Elephas maximus indicus: one gene and its partner. The protein of the gene in region 1 binds, or shares a complex with, the protein of each later gene. Links are inferred from orthologs where the notes say so. Each region holds a gene or a part of one and is shown in the gene's direction. Other genes may lie near its edges.

The links. Proteins that work in one complex are often made in the same cells at the same time.
Region 2: the proteins of CSK (region 1) and PAG1 are in contact, whole or in part, in an NMR structure (PDB 2RSY), measured with the Rattus norvegicus proteins. The link is inferred for Elephas maximus indicus from reciprocal best matches to the Homo sapiens genes CSK and PAG1. Residues at the interface, in NP_001025210.1 of Rattus norvegicus: Thr88, Arg89, Glu93, Arg107, Ser109, Thr110, Asn111, Tyr112, Thr117, Cys122, Glu123, Lys125, Val126, Glu127, His128, Tyr129, Arg130, Ile140, Asp141, Tyr156, Asp161, Gly162; in NP_071589.1 of Rattus norvegicus: Phe291, Ser292, Leu294, Tyr296, Lys297, Ser298, Arg299, Glu300, Glu301, Leu305, Ile310, Met313, Tyr314, Ser315, Ser316, Val317, Asn318, Lys319.

What each region holds. Positions count from the first base shown.
Region 1 is NC_064831.1:64,865,836-64,873,823, forward strand, and holds the start of CSK (tyrosine-protein kinase CSK), read left to right. Parts: upstream 1-4,890; 5' UTR 4,891-5,067; intron 5,068-7,318; exon of another isoform or gene 7,319-7,988. UniProt on the Homo sapiens protein: Non-receptor tyrosine-protein kinase that plays an important role in the regulation of cell growth, differentiation, migration and immune response.
Region 2 is NC_064833.1:60,390,390-60,397,401, forward strand, and holds the start of PAG1 (phosphoprotein associated with glycosphingolipid-enriched microdomains 1), read left to right. Parts: upstream 1-3,977; 5' UTR 3,978-4,160; intron 4,161-7,012. UniProt on the Homo sapiens protein: Negatively regulates TCR (T-cell antigen receptor)-mediated signaling in T-cells and FCER1 (high affinity immunoglobulin epsilon receptor)-mediated signaling in mast cells.

The sequences.
Region 1 (7,988 bases):
TTAGTTACTCTTGTCAGTTTGATCCCATATAGATAGTTCTTAAAAGAGCATAATGCCAAGGCAGACATTCTTTACTAGTTAAGCTAAACTACTGTTTTTAGGAGCCCTGGAGGCATAGTGGTTAAAGCGCTCACCTGCTAAACGAAAGGTCAGCAGTTCAAACTCACCAGCTACTCTATAGGAGAAATCCGTAAAGATTTCAGCCTTGGGTACTCTATGGGGCAGTTCTATTCTGTCCTATAGGGTCGTTATGAGTCGGAATCGACTTGACAACAGCAGGTTTGGTTTGGGTTATTTTTTGGCTTTAAGAAGACTTCAGGGGATATTTTCGGTATAAAGTTTGAAGATTATCTCAGGGCAATAGTTTCAGGGGTTCATCCAACCTTCATGGCTCCAGGAAGTCTGGAGTCCATGAGACTTTGAAATTCTGTTCTGTATTTTCCCCCTTTTGATCAGGATTCTTCTGTGGAATCTTTGATCAAAATGTGCACTAATGGTAGCTGGGCACCATCTAGTTCTTCTGGTCTCATGGCAAAGGAGGCAGTTGTTCATGGAGGCAAATAGCCACACATTCCATATCCTCCTTCTATTCCTGACTCCCTTTTTCCTCTGCTGTTCCAGGTGAATAGAAACCAATTGTTGTGCCTTGGATGGCCATCTGCAAGCTTTTAAGACCCTATGGCACCATGCAACAAACTAGGAGGTAGAACAGAAGCACTAAACACATTAGGCCAATTAACTGGGATATCCCATGAAACCGTGACACTAAACCTTCAAACCAAGGAACCAAATCCCATGAGGTTTTTGGTTGTACTTAAGCAGCCTCAGCAGCTACTCTTATTTATGTATTTATTTATTTATTTTTGGGTCATCGTTGTAAATAAATCTATCACACAAATTTTGCCAATTCAGCTTTTTGTAGGTGTACAACTTAATGACAACAATTATAATAGTCAGCTCTGCACCCCTACCCTTAATCAACGTGATTTTTTCATCACTATTGACCCCCATTTCACCTCCCTTCTGCCCATGGTAACCACTAATAAACTTTGTTCTCTATACATTTGCGTTTTCTTGTCTTTTTGTGTAAGTGAGGCCATAGAATATTTGTCATTTGTGATTGACTTATTTCACTCAGCATAATGTCTTCCAGCTCCATCCATATTGCAGCATATATCAAGACTTCATTTTTTCTTCCTGGTAAGTAGAATTGGTATATTTTTACCGTGTGTATTTTCAAAAAAAAAAAAATTTTTTTTATTTTCAACAAGAAAAATAATAAAATAATTTTGTTTTAATTTGATCTAATCTCTAAGAAATAATGCAAATTAAAAAAAAATGCTTCCGATTATGTCACCCCCCTGCTTAAAGTCCTTCAACAGCTTCCTGCACTGCTCACGTAATCAAACCCAAACTCACCTAAAAAAATCTCTGGAGTGCAGGCTCTGGATCTGGCCCCTGTCGGCTTCCTTACTTCCTCTCTTCCATCCTCCCCTGCTATCTGAGGCCACCCTCTGGCTGTCCTTCAAGCCCCAGGGCCCTTTCCTAGCTCAGGTCTTTAACCTTTGCCAGGAGCCCCGGTGGCACAGTGGTTAAGTGTCTGCTCAGCTGCCAACCGAAAGGTCAGCAGATCTAACCCACTAGCCACTCCAAGGGAGAAAGATGTGGCAGTTTGCTTCCATAAGGATCACAGCCTAGGAAACCTTATGGGACAGTTCTACTCTACCCCATAGGGTCACTATGAGTTGGAATCAACTCGATGACAATGGGTTTGGGTTGCCTATGCCTGAAGCGCCCTCCTTCACTCACCCCCAAAAAAAAAGGCTGGCTCAATCCTTTCCTGGTCTGAAAGCAGAGCTCAAAGCCTCACCTCTCCATAGTCCCTCACATGCTCACTTCCTTCATACTACAGGGCCAAATGACCCTGTTTATTTATTTATTCCCTAGGGTAGGAACCATGGAAGTCTTGTTCACTCCATCTCCAGCATCTGGGACAGTGCCTAGCACTTGGTAAACCTGTTGCTCCAGAGTTGAATCTGACTCAGAGTGACCCTATAGGACACAGGAGAACTGCCCAATACGGTTTCTAAGGAGCAGTTGGTGGATTCGAACTGCCGACCTTTTGGTTAGCAGCTGAGCTCTTAACCACTGTACCACCAGGGTTCCAGCACTTAGTAGGTGCTCAGTAAATTTTTGTTGAATGAATAAATGATGAGAAACGAGGTTGGAGGCTAATTGTCTGACTCTCCCACTAAAAGAAAGGGAGCTCTGCGGGACGAGGCCATGACTGATTTGCTCCTGGTTTTATCCCCATGCCTGGAGTTCAGAGAGGTTAAAATTTTTAGTTCACACTGCTGTGGAGAGTTGGAGCCAGGATTCAAATGCAGGTCTATTTGACTCCAAAGTCCACACTCTTGGCCACAGCACATGCAAGGAAAAGAGTCAAGTGTGTTTGGGGCCAGGGGATGGAGATGGGTGAGTGACAAAGCCCGTGTGGAACAGGGCATTTTCCACAAATCCCAACAGTCCTTTCTTTCCCATCCTGGTAGCTAAACCAGAGGAGGGGAAGGAGATCTCAATTCTCCCTTCTAGAAACTTTTGCAGAGCTGCGGAAGAGCTTTCCTGTCCATGGCTGAGAGAAACTCCACCCACCCCAACCAGCCCCCCATTGTCATTCCGTCTAGACCTCAACCTCAAAGGAAAGAAAGGGAAACCAACCTGCTAAGCTCTCTCCCCACCCTCCCATCCCCAGGCCTTTATCTTGCTGAATCTGCACCATCTCTCCAAAGAGAGGTATGTGAGAGAGGTACACTTTAAGCCTGGTCTGACAGAAGAGGAAACTGAGCTCAGAGACCTTAGGTAACTAGTCCAAGGTCACACGGCTAGTAGGTGGCTGAGCCAAGATTTAATCCTGAGATTTGAACCCAAAACTCATACTTTTTTCCATTATACCACAACTATGCCAGACTAACTGGATGTCTCCTCAAAGCACAAAGGTGTTTCTACTGCTTTCCTCCCCATAGAGGCGGCCCCTTGCTGAGATGCTGGCCCCAGGATGCAGTGGGTCAGAGGGACAACCCGTAGTGTATCTGAGGGGCACACACCGTTCCTACTCCAGGCATTCAAGACTCTTTGCAATCTGCAGATACTGTTCTCCCCATTTCTCTGTCCCAAAGGACCTTTTACTGTCCCTCACACTCTTTCTGCCCCTTCATACTTATTTCAGATTCCAAGAATTTGCCAGCAAGCTTCACCGCTTCCCCCTACTCCCAGGAATGCCCCCTCTTCTCTGCCAACCCAAGCCTGACCCTTTCTTTATGGCCCAGTCCCTAGGGGTGCCCTGACTCCTCCTACCTACACTAGCATCTCTGGTGTCCCCATCGCTGCGCTCCCCCCACCACCTCTCACCCCAGCACAAGCTGTCTGGTCTGTGGCTCTGAGCAGATCACCTGCCTGCTTCTCATTAACAGTGATATATAATAACAGCCAACACTTAACTGAAGGCTCACCATGTTCCAGCAACTGCACACTAAGCACTTGAAACGCATTAACTCATTTCCTCCCCCAGAAAGCCCTAAGAAGTTGCTGCTATTATTTTCCCCATTTGATGAAACGGGGAAACTGAAATCACAGAGACTTTAAGCAGCTTGCCTAAGGTCACACAGCTACTAACAACTTCCTCATTGCTCCAGGCTGAAAATAAAGTCTCAGAAAGTCCCACAAGACTCTCTGTAATCTCTCTTGCCCCTGCTGCCCCAAGACCTAGTCTCCCACTACCGCCTTTAACCCACACTGCAAGCTGCAGCCATACGGAGCTATTTATATTTCCCAGAAGCCACCACTCTCCCACCTCTCCCTGCCTTTGTCCACACCGTTCTCTCTGCCTGGCGTCCTAGGCTCAGTGAAGTCCCCCATTAGCCCTCCCTTCTTGTCTGCTTCCTGTGGACCTTGTACATCACCTCCCCACTTTTATCAATTAGTTCTTTGCTATTGTCTTTTGGCCTGTCAGTCTCTCCATCCTTGACAGCAGTGAAGGGGTCTTACTAGACCCCTGAAAATGGCCTGGCAGGTTGTTGGCGCCAGGAAGCGTTCGTGAACGTGTGAACGAATGCTTGCTGCTGCGAATGAGGCCCACTCTGCGCGGGCTGACTCCAGAAGGATCCAGGCCCAGCCTCCACCGCTTCTACGCTGGTGGAGCTAGGCCCGGAGAAGGTTCAGAACTTGTTCCAAGGCCGGGTGGTCGGCCCTCTGGGAGGGGCCTTTAGGCGCCTCCAACGCAGACAGGCAGGTGGGGGCAGGGCGTGGGCGCAGACACACCCCCCGCAGTGCCCCCGGCGCCCGATAGGGGGCGCCGCCTCGCCAGCCCACGCCCCGCCGCGCACCGGGCAGGCCCCCTCGCGCAGGCGCGCTGCCGCGGGCGGAGGATCCGGGCCGCGCTTCCTCTCGCCAGGCCTGCGAGCTTCCTCCCAGCGGAGCCCTGGGCGAGCCGAGCTTGGGCGCCGCCACCGAGACCGTCGCCGCCCTCCCGCTCCCGCCCCACCCCGCGCCCTGCCCTGGGGTCCTGCTGGGGTGGAGCCCGAGCGGGCCGATCTCCCGGCCGCGCCACCGTCGGGGCCGTCCCCTGGTCAGCCGTCCCTCCCGCCTAGCCAGCCTGTGGCCGCCTGAGGCTCCGGGGCGTGGAGCGCGCGCGGGCAGCCCCCGCGGCCCCCGATCGAGTGTCCGGGACGGCCCCCGGCAGCGGGCGCGACGTTCCAAAACCGAGCCGTGGCGGCGGCGTTCGGAAGCGGAACTCTGCTGGGGCCGCGCCGGCTACATTGTTTCCTCCCCCCGACTCCCTCCCGCCCCCCTTCCCCCGCCTTTCTTCCCTCTCCGCCCCGGGCCGCGCGGCCATCCCCCTGCCTCGGTGTGGCCGTCCCTCCTCCCCCTCTTTCCGCACCTATACTTCTTTGCATCGCACCCCCCGGGGGTCCCTGCGCCCCTTCCCTCCCCTCTGGCCGCATGGACCGTCCCGCAGGCCGCTGATGCCGCCCGCGGCGAGGTGGCTCGGACTTCAGTGCCCCGAGAGAGGTGAGTGCCCTGCAGCCCAGGAGAAGGCCAGCGTCTGTGTCCCCCAGAGGAAGGAGGAGGAGGGAGGTCGCACGTCCTGCTTCTCTTTACACCGCCGTCGTGACCACTCCCATCCCCCACTGCCTTACTCCCTCCTTCCCGAGTTCGAACTCTCCCGGGAGTCACTGTCAGAACCGGATTAGGAGGGGAATACTCGAAGGAGGCACTGCTCAGCAAGCCCCGCAGACTTGCCCCAGGGCACCCTGAGGTCCCCTTGTGTGAAGCTCAAGAGTGAGGGGTGGCTGGAGCCTGGAGGGAGAGGGCCGACGTGGTCCAGGGCCTGGAGAATGGGCTGCATTTCTGGAAGTGCCCCTTCCCTGCCCAGACCTCCCTGCAAGTGTCTTGGCCTGTCTGGGTCTGACCTTTCCCTCACTGAGGCCCTGCTAGCTCCCCTGAGCCCTGCCAGAGGCCCAGGTCCTGGGACTGAACCTGTTTCTCTCAGCCTCCCAGATGACTGTGTCTAAGCCAAGGGACCTCTGACCCTTGGGTGGGGAAACTGGGCAGGCCTCACTCCTGGATGAAGGTGACACCATGCCCCTACCTCCTGACAGCCTGGTCAGCCCATTCTCTGCAGGGCCCAGGCCAGGTGTCAGGAAGGGGCGTGTCCAGCCACCAGATCTTTGGAGCTTAACTGGGGGTTCAGTTCCCCGCCCATTTTGTAGACCAGGGAACTGAGGCTCAAAGGGGGAGGTTGCTCCCCCAGGACTCTTGAAGAGTTAGGCCAGCTGTCGTCTCATCCACTGTTCTGTGGAGCTGGGCTGCTGGGGTTGGAGGGGAGTCAGGCAGATGCCTTCATGCATCAGGGATGCAGGTCCCCACCCTGGCCCAGGAGGGACCATGTGGGGTGAGCATGTGCTCCCTGGCAGAGGCCCAAGAGAAGGGAGAGGGCTTCCGGCCCCAGTTCTGCCTGGGTCTGGGCTCAGGCACCATCAGCACTGCCCATGGGATTTCCCCTTGGTGTCTGAGGCTGGGTCCCACTGGTGGGATGCAGGGGATGCAGGTGGGCACCTGTGTGGCAAGGCGAGAATGCCTGGATTCTAGCCCCTAGCCCTGAACTGCAGCAGCCTAGTGGTTAGTCCAGACCCAGCTCTCCCTCTCCCCCTTCCTCCTCAGCCCAGCTGGCACAGGAGCTTGTTCAAGTTCAGAATATGAATGGGACCAGGATGGAGAATGTGGGAGCCCTGTGACCACTGGCAGTGCCCTACACCCTTGGCATGGGAGCATTGTCAGGGTAGGGACACCTGCAGGGTCTGTTCCAAGCTCCCCCCACACCCTGGGGGTTCCAGTGTCTGCCGTGGTGTATCTGCAGCAGGCACAAGGCAGAGGCAACGAGAGTGAGGTTAGGAGTGTGGACTGATCCTCTTGCTCCGAGAGGGAGGTGGGTTGTCCCCTGGAAGATGCTGAGCTGTGTCTGGGCCTCCTTAGGACTGCTGACAGTTTTGTCCTGCTCAAGACCCCTGCCCTTGGTTTAGAGTTTTTTCCTGTTGCCCTGATGTGCTCAGTAGAGAGGCCCCAGCTGTCCTGGGCCTGTGAGGCTCCGCTTACCCGACTTCCTTTTCCAGCCTGAGGGGCTGGGGCTGGGGCTGGATGTGGTTGGGCGCTTTTTTACCTACTCTGGGCTGTGAGGATGAGGCCCAGGGACCCAAGGCCTTTGTGGAAAGGAATCTAGCTTTAGGCTAGCATGTGTGCAGGGAAGTGTTTTTTCTAGGTGAACTTGGTGCCTTCTGCCCGCTCTGAAGTGGCTGCTGTTGTCTCTGCATTGGGTTGAGGACAAGAAAGATGTCCTCCAGCACCACTGCAAAGGGCACTGGGCCCAGAGAGGCTGAGCCACCACAGTGTCCCACAGCAAGTGTTGGGGAAGGGGCAGAGTTCTAGCTTTCTCCAAACTAGCTCCGGCAGGGGCTGAGGCCTGAGATCCCACAGTGACGTGGTTGCCCCAAAAGTCGCCAGGTGGCCTGACCTGTCAGCGTGTCCTGATTGGAAGGACGGCCTGGATCCAGTTCTGGGTTCCATCTTTTGAGGGATTTTGAAGGCTTGACACCCAGTTCCCGAAGAACAGAGTATTTGGCCTGGGAAAGAGGAGGTAGGGAGCGAGCACTGGTCATCTCCTTTCTTGTCTGGGGGCTGTTCTGCGTCCCAGAGGCTGTCCCACTGCAGAAGAGGCAGGCGTCATTTGTCGAGGTCCAAAACACCAAGGCCAGAGCGGGAGGGCAGGCAGGTCCCAGGGAAGCAGGTTCACTACAAGAAAACTACTCATGGACTAATATCCTGAAGTGAGAAAGTGACAAAATAGCACTACAGAAAGTTTAGAAAACAAAAATCATTCCCTCTTTCTTCACCTGACGGGGTGACTGCTAGCATTTTGAAGTTTCCTGCCAGTCTCTTCCTGACTCTATTCCTTCCTCTGGTGTGTGCCCTAACACCAGTTTTCATTTAATGCTGTGCCCATAGACACATTCTCATGTTGTTCCCCCGTCTGACTTTCCCTCTAAAAACCTACAGAATATTCCAGATAGTTCTGCCTCAGCAACTTCAGCCAAACCCTGTTGCTGAGCTTGTGTGTTGTTTCCATCTGTCGCTGTTGAGGTAGTTGTTACTGCAGGTCCCAAAAGCAGCCAGGGGTATTGGAGAGAGTGGGCAAGTAGACATGGTGTCCAGGCCCAGCATTCCATTTAGTCCAGGGAGGAGAGACCTTGGGCAAGTCACTGGCCTCTGAGCTGGAATTCTTTTATATGTATGAGGGATGGTGATATTTGCTTCAGAGGGAGAGTGAGCTAATTAACCAGGTACTAGAAAGTACCTGGCACAGCCCCTGGCCTCTAGTATCCCTTTGTAAGAATAAGCCCCAGGTGGCATCATTGAAGGAATGACCACCACAAACT
Region 2 (7,012 bases), on another chromosome or scaffold:
TTTCATATTATGAAGTAAATAAGGAAAGTTGTCCATTTGATCAATAGTAGTCCCTTTGAAATAATTCTCCACTAAGTCCAGAACCTTGAAATTATTTGGGAAAGAACAATCTCCACTAGTAACTTTTAGAAACGCTATGGCAAGTTGAGGGTTACCTTTGGCACACCAAGAAGGAATTCATACTTCTTAGCATAGTGTACAACCCAAAAAAAATGTACAAGGCCCTTCAAAATCTAAGCCATAAGGAGGTAGCTTTAGTTATCTCGTAATACCTATCTCTCTCTCTTTGTCCTGGCTATAAGAGACTTAATTAATTCCCAGCAATGACCATAGTTGGACTAAGCCAATTATGACATTCTGTGAAGTCCCTAGTTGGTACAAACAGTCATGTGCTCAGCTACTAACCAAAAGGTTAGGAGTTTGAACCCATCCAGAGATGCCTTGGAAGAAAGACCTGGCAATCTGCTTCTTTAGAGGTTACAGCCAAGAAAACCTTATGGAGTATAGTTTTACTCTGTAACACATGAGGTCACCATGAATTGGAATTGACTTGATGGCAAGTGTTTTTTTTGGTTCTCCACACTTTAAGCTTCCCTCTCACCTAGTGGTGGCCAGTAAGAGACTAACAGAAATCTGCGGTAGAGGCTTCTGAAAACGCTTTTCCTTTCCTGATGCAGTTGTGGTGGCACCACCTCTTCCTTCTTCCTCTTGGTTTGAGTGTAGATGTGATACCAGAAACTGAGGCAGCCATCTTGTCACCCATGAGAGAAAAAAAAAAATGAGAGAAAGTCCAAGAAAATTACAGAGATACTAACCCTGAAACAGTTTACCCACTGAGCCAGCTCCCTCAGCCTCTTACTTTTAGAATTCTAATTTAAAAAAATTAACTCTTACTTGTCCAAGCCACTGCTTTTCCCTTCTCTCTCACTTGCAGGAGAAATCACTCTTAATTGAACCAGACGTAGATCACATGCTTTCCCAGCCTTGTTCCCTGTATCCTATTTCTCCAGCCACAAAAATCTACTGGCCATCCTGCAACCCCCCTGGGCTCTTCAATGATGAATACAACCCAGTCACCCTTTTCCCCTAAAATCCTATTTAAGAAGACTTAAATGAGAAATATTCCCCATCTCCAGACAGAGCTAATATCTTCTCCCTTGTGCTTCCTTAACATTTTGCGCCAGCCTACTGTTGGCTGAGAAGTCCCTGGTTGGTGCAACGGGTTAATGCATTCAGCTGCTAACTGCAAGGTTGGAGGTTTGAGTCCACCCAGAGGTGCCTAGGAAGAAAGGCCTGGCAATCTACTTCCCAAAAATCAGCCACTGAAAACCCTACGGAACATACTTCTACTCTGACACACACGGGTCAGTGTTGACTCAACTGGAACTAGCTTTGTGGACTGACTGGGCTCAGGGATCCTTGAGTTCCTACTCTTTGAATCACCTCAACATCATCACAGTATTCCCAGTACCTCGCACAGCACCAGCAGTACAGTATTGACAAATGTGTTATCTTTGTTAAATCTTACTTTTTCTAGAAAAAGAGATAACACTTGGCCTTAGCTTTTTCACTGAGAGGGTTTCCTTTTGTTCTAAGTGAAACCATGCTCTCCCCACACTCCCGCCCCCGCACTCCTGGATTAAGTGAAAGAAACACACTGCAACAGTGTTTTTGAAGGACAATTTAGTAATAACACATAAAATGTTAATGGGTCTAATTTTTGACCCAGCAATTCCAATTCTAGGTTGTTATCCCTGAGATATATCACACAAGCTGGCAGAGATGTCTACACCTAGATGCGGATTCCAGCCTTGTTTATAGTAGCAAAACTTGAAAGCGGGCTATGTGTCCATTAATAAGGGACAGGTTAAATAATTTATGGCACATCTATTTAATAGAATAGTGTGCCACAGTTAAAAAGAACCAGATAAATCTATATGTGGTGACATGGGAGAATTGCCAAGATACATCACTGAGGAAAATAAACCATTATATTGTTAGCCCTTTTCTGAAAAAGTTATTTACATATATTGAAAAAATCCAGATGAATAAACTCTAAGTTATAAACAGTGGTTAGTTCTGAGGTGGAAAATTTTATTCTCTTGGATTTAGACATCTGTAATGTATGGATGGATTCTTATAATCCATACATGCATAATATGTATAATTATAAACAAACTAATAAACAGATTTGCGGTGGTTTCCAATAATGGTAGGAGGCCAGTGGCTTCTGCAGGGGTACTGCCTTCTTGCAGAAATGAAGGGATGCATAGATAGAAAGAAATACAGGTTGAAAGTAGACGTGGTGCAGTAAAATCAAAAGATCAGAGAAGAAGAATAAATGATGAGAACCACCCCAAAATGGAAATGTTGAACTGTGAGATAAAGAGCTCCCCATTCATCCAGCTGTGTAAGACAGAGCCATGGAGTCTTCCTTTACACCTTTCTCTCCCTCATTCGCCAAGATTCCTCTAATGCATTCAGTTTTTTCCATTTCAACCAACACCATTCTAGTCCAGGTAACCAAGCTGTCCTGCTTGTACTATTAGAATAACTTTCTAACTGGTATCCCTATGTCAACTGTGGCAGTCAGAATAATGGCCCCCATAACCTTTCCCCCTGGTGTCACACCCATGAATAAACTATATTACATGGCAAAAGGGACCTTTCAGATGTAACTAAGGTTACTAATGTTTGATGTTAAAATAGGGAGAGGAGCCTGGGTTATCCAGGTGAGCCCAATGTAACCACATGAACTCACAGAAGCAGAACTTTCTCCCCATGGAAGAAAAGGAAGTAAGAGAAATATGCCAGAAGGGGAAGTCGAAGAGATTTGAAGCGTGGGAAAGATCTGACCTGCCTTCACAGGCTTGAAAGTGGAAGGGGCTGCATGGACAGCAGGAGAAGGAAATGATTTCTGCCAACAACCAATGGGTTGGTAGAGGAGCAGAGCACTGAATGAGAACTGCAGCCCCAGCTGGTTTCTTGATTTCTATCTTGTGACAGCCTGAGCAGAAAACCCAGTTGAGCCATACTGTACCCAGACTTCTGATCCACAGAAACTACACTGTTTTAAGCCGCTAAGTTTGGGGTAGTTTAGTACAGCAGCAACAGAAAATTAATACATCAAACTCTGCCCATCTCTGGTCTATTTTACCAACCATGACAAGAGTGATATATTTGTTTCCAAAATACAAATCTGGTCACGACACGCCTGTTTACAATTCTCTGTAGCTTCCTGATGTTCTTTGGAAACACTCCAAACTCCTTAACAAAGCCTTCAAGGCCTTACCTGGTCTTCAGCATCCACCAACCTCTCTAACTTCATCTTCCTCTATAACCCCTCATCCTGTGACTCAGCTACTCTGGCCGTCTTTCATTTACTCATACTGCCCTGCTTCATCTTGCCTCAGGACCTGTCATGGATTGAATTGTGTTTCCCAAAAATGTGTGTCAACTTGGCTAGGCCATGATTCCCAGTATTGTGTGGCTGTCCACTATTTTGTGATTTGATGTGATTTTCCTCTGTGTTATAAATCCTACCTCCAGGATGTTAATGAGGCTTGATTAGAGACAGGTATGTTAATGAGGCAGGACTCAATCTACAAGATTAGGTTGTGTTTTAAGTCAATCTCTTTAGAGATATAAAAGAGAGAAGTGAGCAGAAAGACATGGGGACTTCAGACCACCAAGAAAGCAGTGCCAGGAGCAGAGCATGTCCTTTGGAGCTGGGGTCCCTGTACCTGAGAAGCTCCTAGAGCAGGGGAAGATTGATGACAAGGACCTTTCTCTAGAGCCAACACACAGAGAAAGCCTTCCTCTGGAGCTGGTACCCTGAATTCAGACTTCTAGCCTCCTAGACTGTGAAAGAATTAATTTATTTTTGCTAAAGCCATCCATTGGTGCTATTTCTGTTATACCAGCCCTAGATGACTAAGACAAAATTTGGTACCGAGAGTCGGGGTCAAGAGGACAAGGAACCAGGAAGCAGAAGCTGAAGAGACAAGAAACACAGGAAGCAAAGCTGCCTCAGTCTCAAAGGGTGGAGTTGCCACTCAGAAGACTAGGAGAATGGGGCCACCCAAATGCGAGGGAAGGGTGTTGCCATTCAGCGGACCTGGAAGGTAGAGCTGAAGGCCAGGGCCTCCACCCAGAATCAGGTGAGTGTGGCCAACACCCAAAGTCTGGAGGGCAGGGCTATTGCCTAAATTGTCTCAGAGAACAGGATTATTTTCAAGCCTTGAGAGCTAATGTAATGTGTTCTGCTGATTTGCTTGGTGCTATTGTCCCTTCTTTCCCTTTAATTTCTCCCATTTGTAATGGAAATGTCTCTTCTTTCCTTCTAATTTCTCCCATTTGTAATGGAAATGTCTACCTTGTACCTGTCCCACCGTTGTACTTTGGAAGCAGATAATTTGTATTCTAGATTTCACAGATGAAGAGGAATTTTGCAGAAGATTTTGGGCTTGGAGTTGATTTAAGACTTTTGCTATGGTATGATGGAGTGAATGTGTTTTACATATGACAAAGATATAAATTATTGGGGGCCAAAAGGTGGAATGTCATGGATTGAATTGTGTCCTCCAAAAATGTGTGTCACCTTGGCTAGGCCACGATTCCCAGTATTGTGTGGTTGTCTACCATTTTGTGATCTGATGTGATTTTCCTGTGTGTTGTAAATCCTACCTCTATGCTGTTAACGAGGCAGTTATGTTAATGAAGCAGGACTCTACAAGATACAGTATGTCTTAAGTCAATCTCTTTTGAGATGTAAAAGAGAGAAGCAAGCCTAGAGATATGGGGCCTTCATACCACCAAGAAACAGTATCAGGAGCAGAGCATGTCCTTTGGACCCAGGGTCCTCGTGCCTGAGAAACTCCTAGACCAGGAGAAGATTGTTGACAAGGACCTTCCTCCAGAGCCGACAGAAAGAGAGTCTTCCCCTGGAGCTGACACCCTGAATTCAGACTTCTAGCCTCCTAGACTATGAGAATAAATTTCTGTTTGTTGACTAAAGGGGTGTACCAGCCCTGGGGCGGGAACTGGAAAGTAGGAGGAAACAGGAAAGCTGGTAATAGGGAAGCCAGGGTAGAGAAGGGAGAGTGCTGACATGCCGTGGGGTTGTTAACCAATGCCATACAACAATGTGTGTACTAACAGTTTGATTAGAAACTAGTTTGTTCTGTAAACTTTCATCTAAAGTTCAATTAAAAAAATATATTAAGAAAATTTTAAGCCATTCACTGGCTGTATTTCTTTTATACCAGTCCTAGATGACTAAGACAGAACCTTTACACAAGTTGCTCGCCTTCATGGAATATTCTTCTTTCCCCTCCTCACCTTCTTCCCACTACAGCTCGTCTTTCAGATTAAAATTCATGTGTCTTACTCTTTGAGAAGTCTTCCCTCACTTCTCTGACAATATCAAACATGGAAATCATCAGCTTCTGTGGCATTATGTACCTCTCTTTCCAACCAGTTGTTATGGTTTGTGTGATTACATGAAAACTATCTGTCTCCTACTCTATGCTATACTTTCCTCAAGGACAGGGGCTATGTATGTTTTTCCTCACTATTATATCAACATCTTTTAGTAATGACTGAAATATAGTCAGTTTTCATTGGCTAGATTTAGTGGCTGAATAATTGAATCAATCAGCCACTGCACGTAGTCTAGGAAAAAGTGGATGAGAAAATGCCAACCACTAGTGAAAGGCTGGTGCAAGTGACCACACATTACCCTACCAATCCTAAGACTGCCCAATGCTAAGTTTTCTGTGCCTGTTCAAAATTTAATAATTCTTTTAATTTTACAGTACCCAGGAAACTTTGATTTTTCTAATGAAAATAGCTGTCAGAACATCACTTTACTACCAATATATGCCTCGTTTCTCAAATCAAATAAATCTTTGATTAGTAGAGACCAAGCAGAAGTCACGGTAGTATGTGCCCGTCATGGATTGAATTGTGTCCCCCCAAAACATGTGTCAACTCGGTTAGGCCATGATTCCTAGTATTGTGTGGTTGTCCTCCATTTTGTGATTGTAATTTTATACTAAAGGGGATTAGGGTGGCATTGTAATACCACCTTTACTCAGGTCATCTCCCTGATCCAATGTAAAGGGAATTTCCCTGGGGCTTGGCCTGCACCACCTTTTATTTCTCAAGAGACAAAAAGGAAAGGGAAACAAGCAGAGACTTGGGGACCTCATACCAACAAGAAAGCAGTGCAGGGAGCAGAGTGCATCCATTGGACCTGAGGTTCCTACACTGAGATGCTCCCAGACCAAGAGAAGACTGATGACAAGGACCTTCCTCCGGAGCCAAAAGAGAAAGAAAGCCTTCCCCTGGAGCTGACGACCTGAATTTGGACTTGTAGCCTAGTACCCAATAAGAATAATTTTCTCTTTGTTAAAGCCATCCACTTAACTAATACAGTGCCCAAGGAATATTAACATAGCCAATTAATCTATTGGACTTTATACTTTATAAATATATATTTGTATATATTATCTCTTTTGATCCTCACAGTAACTTTGTAAAGTACTTTTACTAACCAAAGGTTGGCAGTTCAAATCCAACAGGCGCTCCTTGGAAACCCTATGGGGCAGTTCTATTCTGACCTTTACAGTTGCTATGAGTCAAAATCGACTTGATGGCAATGGGTTATGGTTTATGGGTTTATTTATATATTTTTGTAAGTTTTTTCAGCCCAGCACAGGTTAAATCAAAGATTCACTGCTCAGAGGGTAACAGATTTGGTCAAATTCAAAACACTTCAAAGTGACAGAACTCCACTTCAGGCCTTCTTACTCCAAGTCCAGAGTGTTTTAGCTGTGTAGGTTTTCCGGGTAGGAACTAAAGCCTCAGACTTCTCTGTGTGCTTTATTTCATTTTCTCTCTACTGCATGATGTCTAGCCCCAGTGCCTTGGCAATTGTCTGGGTAACTGTCAACCACACCTAGTATAATTTCTATTTATGAACGGCACTGCATTTTCCAAAGATGAGATG